Danio rerio: one gene and its partner. The protein of the gene in region 1 interacts with the protein of each later gene in a biochemical or structural test. Links are inferred from orthologs where the notes say so. Each region holds a gene or a part of one and is shown in the gene's direction. Other genes may lie near its edges.

The links.
Region 2: of the proteins of irak1 (region 1) and peli1b, one has a biochemical effect on the other in vitro, tested with the Homo sapiens proteins (5 studies listed by BioGRID and IntAct, with this or other methods). The link is inferred for Danio rerio from reciprocal best matches to the Homo sapiens genes IRAK1 and PELI1.

Annotation. Positions count from the first base shown.
Region 1 is NC_133183.1:9,125,321-9,129,155, reverse strand, and holds part of irak1 (interleukin-1 receptor-associated kinase 1), read left to right. Parts: intron 1-1,583; coding exon 1,584-1,769; intron 1,770-3,516; coding exon 3,517-3,581; intron 3,582-3,722; exon of another isoform or gene 3,723-3,767; coding exon of another isoform or gene 3,768-3,835.
Region 2 is NC_133192.1:25,813,255-25,817,089, reverse strand, and holds part of peli1b (E3 ubiquitin-protein ligase pellino homolog 1b), read left to right. Parts: intron 1-2,723; coding exon 2,724-2,853; intron 2,854-3,728; coding exon 3,729-3,830; intron 3,831-3,835. UniProt on the Homo sapiens protein: E3 ubiquitin ligase catalyzing the covalent attachment of ubiquitin moieties onto substrate proteins. Involved in the TLR and IL-1 signaling pathways via interaction with the complex containing IRAK kinases and TRAF6.

The DNA of each region.
Region 1 (3,835 bases):
GCTCCTTCTCATACTTCAGCCTCCACATCAAAGTTCCTGAAAGCAAAGGTCAAGGTGCTCAAGTATTGGCCAGCCCAGTCACCAGACATGAACATTATTGAGCATGTCTGGGGTTAGATGAAGGAGGCGGCACTGAAGATGAATCCAAAGATTCTTGATGAACTCTGGGAGTCCTGCAAGAACGCTTTCTTTGTCATTCCAGATAACTTAAGTAATATGTTATTAGAGTCATTGCAGAGATGTATGGATGCAGTCTTCTAAGCTCATGGGAGTCAGACACAATATTAATTTGCCACTGCACCATGACTTTATATTTTACAACATTATTTCTGTTAAGTGACAAGACTTTTGTCTAAGCAAAGTCAGACTTTACTGTCCTAATTAAATAATTCAAAACCAAGGCGTTATCATAATTTATTTTAATAAAATAAGCATAATCTAGAAGCCTTTGCCTTTCATATAAGCCACTTGGTCACACTTTACAATAAGGTTCATTAGTTAATGTTAATTAATGCATTTACTAACATGAACAAACAATGAACAATACATTTACTGCTGTATTTGTTCATGTTAGTTAACGTTAGTTAATGAAAATACAGTAGTTCATTGTTAATTCATGTTAACTCATTGTACATTAACTAATGTTAACAAGCATGGACCTGAATGTTAATAATGCATTAGTAAATGTTCATTTATGATTAATAAATGCTGTACATGTGTTTTTCACGATTAGTTCATGTTAGTAAATGCATTAACTAATAAACCTTATTGTAAAGTGTTACCAGCCACTTCTGATACCAAATAATCAACTAGAAGTCAAGCTATTATTTGTTGTTCCTAAAACTTGAATAGGCGACAAAATTTTTATCAGGTAGTGTAGTAGGTTTTTACAGAGGGGATTTTGAGTATCTTTATATCACTTCATAAATTCTACAAAATAACCTTTTGTTGGTAAAATAAAATGTATATAATCAGACAAATTGTACATGACCAAATTGTAAAAAAACAACAACAACAACTTGATTTAAATTTATTTGAGAACTTGGATACGAATAAAACTTTAAAGTTTTTCTGCTGAAGTCGAGATTATGATCAATGCCAAAGAAAAAACAGATTGGGTAAAAAAATAGATATGAATAAAATGTAACGTTTTAAGTGTCCTGAAGTGGAAATAAGCATCACTTTACAGGAAATAACACGTTTTATATCAAAAACACATCTATAAAGTGATGCAAACGATACATATATATATATATATATATATATATATATATATATATATATATATATATATATATATATATATATATATATATATATATATATATATATATATATATATGTTTTTTTTTTAAATATTAAACTGAAAAAACACCAAAAAATCCAAAAATGAAGATCTGAAAATCCCCCTTTTTTTAAACTGAAAGGTGTAAACAGTGTTCAGTAAAATCAGCATAATAAAAAGGCTTGATAGGTTTCAGCATTGACTGTGTTACCATTGTGCTGGAGAGGCATTAGTCAGCATTACTCTTCGTGTTTTTCTTCTTTTTGGTTTCTTAATCCACTGACGCATGTGTTCATAGTGGCCGTGCGAGAACCGTGTAGATCCCCCGCCTCTCTCCTCCTCTGCAATGAGCTGGCCGTTTGAGGAAATACAGAGAGGCACCTGCAACTTTTCCCCATGCAAGCAGATTGGGGAAGGAGGTTTTGGACACGTGTATAAAGCTGTGATGAGAAACACTGAGTTTGCGGTGAAGAAGCTGAAAGAGGTATTTGAAGAAAAATAACAAAACAAATGTCTTTCTGCTTGTTCTTATATGTTTATTTATTTGTTTTCTTTTATATCTCAGTGTTTGTTCTGCAAAATTTCTATTAATGTAAAAGCACACAGGTTTCCCACGCTTCTTAAAGGGCTTGATAATACTTGAATTTCAGACATATCAGGTCTTTGAAAGTGCTAGAATTAAATTTGACATAAAATTTTATTAGGGTTTTATTTGAACAGTTGTACTCAATTGTCGAATACAGAAAGAAGAGAAATTCTTAAAATAAAAATGTTAAATTTAAATCTTATACAACAACACTGACAAATAATGCACATTACATCAATATTTCAGAAACCACATTTGAATATAAACAGTTTTGAATTCAACAGACTTTACTAAAATTCTTTGAACATGACTTTTTAAAACAGACATTTTTTAATGTAAATATTAAGTGTGAGTTATTAAGTACAGTAAGGACTTTCACTGCGTTACATATGCTGGGGGTATAAATTATCAAGTGCTTGATTTAAAATTAATGGTTAAAAAAATTCTTGAAAGTCCTTGAATTTACTCAAAATCAAGCAGAAAGTGCTCAGGGGTAGTTTAATTTATGTGCCTGTGCTCTTTAAGTAAGGGATTCATCAGAATAAACAGCAAAATGAAGTCCATGACATTAGAAAAATTTGGAAAAGATATTAAAAAGGCTTTATTGAATGCACCTACATGTTGTGGCAAACACTTGTCTTCATTAGGGTAACAGAGATCATGTGCGCCTGTAGTTTCTTTTGAACACTATAGTCTCATGACTCGTTTACTGTTTATGAAAGCGTGGGAACCCTGAATACATTCTATTGGACTGTCCTGCTTTTAAAGGTCTTGTGATGTGCTCTGATAGTGCATTTTTTTGTTTGACGTAATCTCATAGAGTAGCTCCTCACCTTTTTTAAAGAACAGCCAATAGTGTTTGGTTTTCTCACAGCTCTGCCAATGAGAGTGGTTGAAGCTTAAGCGCATCAAATAAAAGGCAAACGAAAAGCGTCTTAAAGGGGGCGGGGCATGTCAGATACTGGAGAGCATTTGGTTGGTCAAGATTTGGACATTTAAGTCAGGTTTATCTCTTCTAAAAGTTAATAAGCACAGTAGCTTGTAGATATGCTTAACTAACATATTCATACTAACATATAAAATTACTTTCACAAGACCTTTACTGACAGCTAGGGCTGCACATTATATTTAAAAAAAAATATCGTTATAGCTAATAGTATGTGCAATATTCATATCGCAGAAAAGTGCAATGACTTAAATACATTTATGTAGGACATAAATGAAACGGAATTTTCACCAAAGTTTTCAGGCGTTTGTGGTGATTGAAGTCTAAATGCTTTTTTTTTTTTTTTTTTTTAGAAAAGAGAAATAAATATTACCTATTTTTATTTTGGCATAATGATCATTACATAAATATATTTTTAAGTTTTTATCATTTTAAGTTGCTGATAAAATAGCATATTGTAAGTTAGTTATATCATTAAAAATATTGTTAGCATTCAACAATATTGCCATAATGAATGTTCAGTCACCACAAATTTTATTATATTTAACGTTAAACATCATATTTAATTTTAGTTTTTTTTTTTGTATATTTATTAATTCAACATTTTGTCCATTAAAATATCTATTGTTTCTGACATGGCATTAATATAAATATGTGATATGATTTGCATGTTTTTTTAATGTGGCTGTTGTGTTGCAGGATTCTCACTTGGACTGGAATGTCGTGAAGGAAAGTTTCAGGACGGAAGTGGACAAACTCTCTCAGTAAGAAGCTCTGCCTGTCCGTCTGTCGCTCCTGTGGCTCTTGCTTCCTTCTCTTGTGCTTTTAAATCTGAAGTCTTTCCTGTTTTCTCTTGATCAGCTTTTTGTAAGCTTGGCTGAGATTCATTTCTGTTTGTTCAACAGACTCGCAGAAAGGGATTTCCCCGCTTGAAATTTTGATTACTCTTTATGCACATCACCACACCTCTTCATGACCCAAAAAATGAGTCTCCAGCCCACTCTTCAAAACTTTTTCT
Region 2 (3,835 bases), on another chromosome or scaffold:
CTAAAAATTCTCTCTGTCGTAAGTGATAATGGCAGCTCCATTTCTTCAGATCTGATATACGAACAATGGTTTCTCGAATGATGTCATCAGTGGGCGTGGCAAATCAGTATGCAAATCACTGTGTCCTTGTGATGTCACATGCCACTTTATATCTAACCACACACTTTTAGGATAAAAAAGTGGTAGTCCAGAGTGTATTTTTAAGGCTTGGATGTGTTTATAAGATGCAAAGCAATGTGTGCTCATGCTTCATTTGTAGAAAATCACATTATTTTTTGGTATTTTTTACTTAATGTACAGCTAATCAGCTAACATGACAATGACTGTCATATTTCCTAATTTCTTTGGAAAGAGGCTCTGATAGGTCAGCTATTATAATGTGCTGTGATTCGCGGATCAGTTTTATGTCACCAGAAAAAGTGTCACGCCTCCACAAGCACGTGCTTTCGCTCTGCTGTGTAAATACTGTCTGTCAGAGTAGCTTTTAGCCGTTTCAGTTTAAGCCTTAATCAGACAGAAAATAAAAAGGATAAACCTCAAGCCTGCTCCCTAAAATAAAATTCTGAAATGTGTCTTACACATGCTTATTCCGATTATATGTGAAAGTAATATAAAACATTCACTTATCTTTTGCGAGTTTGTTATTTGCAATGTAGAACGCAGGGAAAGCGGCCGCATAGAGAGACCCTGCAGCCCTGGTGAAGATTATGGATGTTTACAGCAGTCTGACAGATAAATATGAATTTGCAGCTAAATTGTTAGCAGTGCCAAACATCATTTCCCGTTGTTTGTACTCTTGTTTACATCCTTGCTACAACATAACGCTAACCTTCAAACTGTGCATGTAGTTGATTGATTTTATCAAATAAAAATACTTACAGGTTGTGGCTCACAATTCACAGGCAGAGGAATGCAATGTCTCTGAAAGCTTTTAACATCATCCGGCCCTTTCCAGTGAGTACGTACATGGACACCAATGCTCCGATTTTAATATGATTACGACAATTCTCTGATTAAGAGCCTAGACTACCATGTAAACAGTGATTTTGATTACCTTAAAGGACCACAGACACCTGCATCGTAAAATGCGAAGGTTTCCTTCTTTCCCTTCAACATGCGCTATCAAATTCCATTAAAAAAGCACTCTTCCACCAGTCCTTAGGTAATGCTCAAATCAAATCAAAAAATTAAAAATGAAACACCTGAAATTATATGAAACGCTAAAGGAAACATGGATAGCGTGGTGACGCAATGACATTAATCGATCTAAGTACTATAACATGTAAGATGAAAACATGAAAGGAACATTCAAAAAGCAACTTATGTAAACACCTTAATCATATTATTGTCTTATTCAGATTAAGGCAAATCATTAGTTTACTAATAAGCATGTAAACATTGTCACTAACCCCAACCCTAGGGAAAAAAAAAGAGTTCAGTATTTTGATAACAGCCTTTCCACAGGTTAGTAGTAAGCTATTGTAATTTCATAATGCTAATCTTAAATTCATGCTAACCAACAAATGATCAAAGGAAATATATTAATATAATTCAAATATATAAAATATGAATTGATGTTTCTTTTAAAGTTTAATTATATTGTTCTATTAAAATTATATTTTTTAAACATTTTGTCAAATAAAATATTTTTCTAGAGCGGTGGGGCTCAACCCTGTTCTGGCGATCGATCTTCCTGCAAAATTTAGCTCCAACCCTGATCAAACACACCTGAACCAATTAATTAGGACCTGAACAGCACTTGATAATTACATGCAGGTGTATTTGATATGGGTTGCAACTGAAATCTGCAGTAAGGTCGATTGCCAGGAACAGGGTTGGTCACGCCTGTTCTAGAGTCATCCACCATAATTTTGTGGCTTAAAAGTGTTGGTTCAGGCACTGTTTTGGCACCGGTACTGTTTTAAAAGTATCGATTTAGCACCGGAATCGGAATAACCCAACCCTAGGTTGGGCAGCATTTTAGCTTTGTCTGCAATAATATTACAGCGCCTCTGGGCACGCCCCTTTGCTGCACAGGATGTATGCGCATGGCGTATGCACTTAACCAGAAGCGTTTGTGATCTCACCAACCCGGATGTATTTTTTTGTAGTCCCAAAGCTAACTCTGTAAAAGCCAATGTCTCCCTTTTGTTCACACAGCTACATTGCACTTGAACTAAATTTTAAAACAATGATACAAATGATATTGTAGTAGACCACCTGTTTAAGAAATATTGTGAAGGATAATGATGTTGAAAATCTTGATGTTTAATTGAAGAGTTCTTCTATGTTGTTAAAAGAAATCAAGGCAAATTTCAAATGTAAAGACCCCTTTATTTTTATCACGAAAGATTATATTTGAAGTTATTAGTCTAGTAATTGTAGAAGCTGTTTTGGGGGTTGTGTCACCTCACCAGCATATATACATTTTATGAAGAGTGGATCTTGAAATGTATGGCATTTTGTGTTTTGGATTAGGTGTTGTTTCCAGTCAACAAACAAAATGATTGTTTGCTCTTCCAAGGAAAAGTATGGGATTGCATATCTACCGTACAGCTTTTGTTTGCTTGTGCTTTTGTGAGTGCATCTATCTGTTTTGTTCACCACCTGTTGCCTGCAGCTGAATTGGTGGTGAAGTATATGTTGCGCCCTGGTGCTTTCAGCTGAATCTCTCTCTCTCTCTCTCTCTCTCTCTCTCTCTCTCTCTCTCTCTCTATCTGTAGGTATAATGGCTCTCTACCCAATGGGGACCGCGGCAGAAGGAAGAGCAGGTTTGCACTCTTCAAAAGACCCAAATCCAATGGTGTCAAACCCAGCACTGTACACGTAGCCTGCACCCCACAGGCAGCCAAGGTACCCTCCACCTAGGCATTACACAGGACTATCTTAAGAAAATCAGCAGTTACAGTGATATTTTGGTTCTGGGAGAGTTTTGAATAAAAAAAAAAATAGGTAGGTTTGAGCTGCAATGGAACAGGGTGCGTCTGCTCGGACACATCTGGATACTGTTGAGCTCATGAATGACCCTTCTGTGGCTCCATCACAAACACACACATTTATACACAAACAGTTCCAGATTCCACAGCCTCTTAGACTCTATTGTGCTGGCCAATAAACTTTTGATGGAACTTTTTTCCACATCTGCAAATAGTGATCTGTGTTTATTTACACCTGTACACATTTACTTGCTTTAGTATATACAATGATATAATAATTATTGGTATATACAATATTTGGACTTGACTTGATGAGATCTACTTACCACTGTGTTTATTTCATATTTGTTCACATGCAAAAATAAGTTTGCCTAACATTTTTGCCAATCATGCTGCCTCTGTCATCATTATTTTTAGGGAAATATATTTTTCAACAAATTGTTATTATCGTGACTTTTCCATTCATGCATTTTCCATAAAATAAATCACATGACTTGAAATTGGGTCAGAACTATTTTTGGCTTACACAGTCACACTTTTAAATATAAAGCATAAACGACTTTATGGTAAAACTAAAACTTTTCGGATTTGAAAATTGGCTATAGAAATATTTGCGCATCTCATGCAGCACAATCCAAATGTGAGCATGCTGTAGCTTGTTATGCATGCTTGATGTTTGTTGTATTCCATGTGATTTTGAAATTGTCAGACATATATCTGTACAAATACAGTACATCTCAGGTTGTGTGTTCAGCATGAATTTTTTCATGATCTCTCTTCTTGTTTCCTCAGGCCATAAGTAACAAGGATCAGCACAGTATTTCCTACACATTGTCCCGAGTACAGACAGTAGTGGTGGAGTACACTCAAGACAGCAATACAGACATGTTTCAGGTACA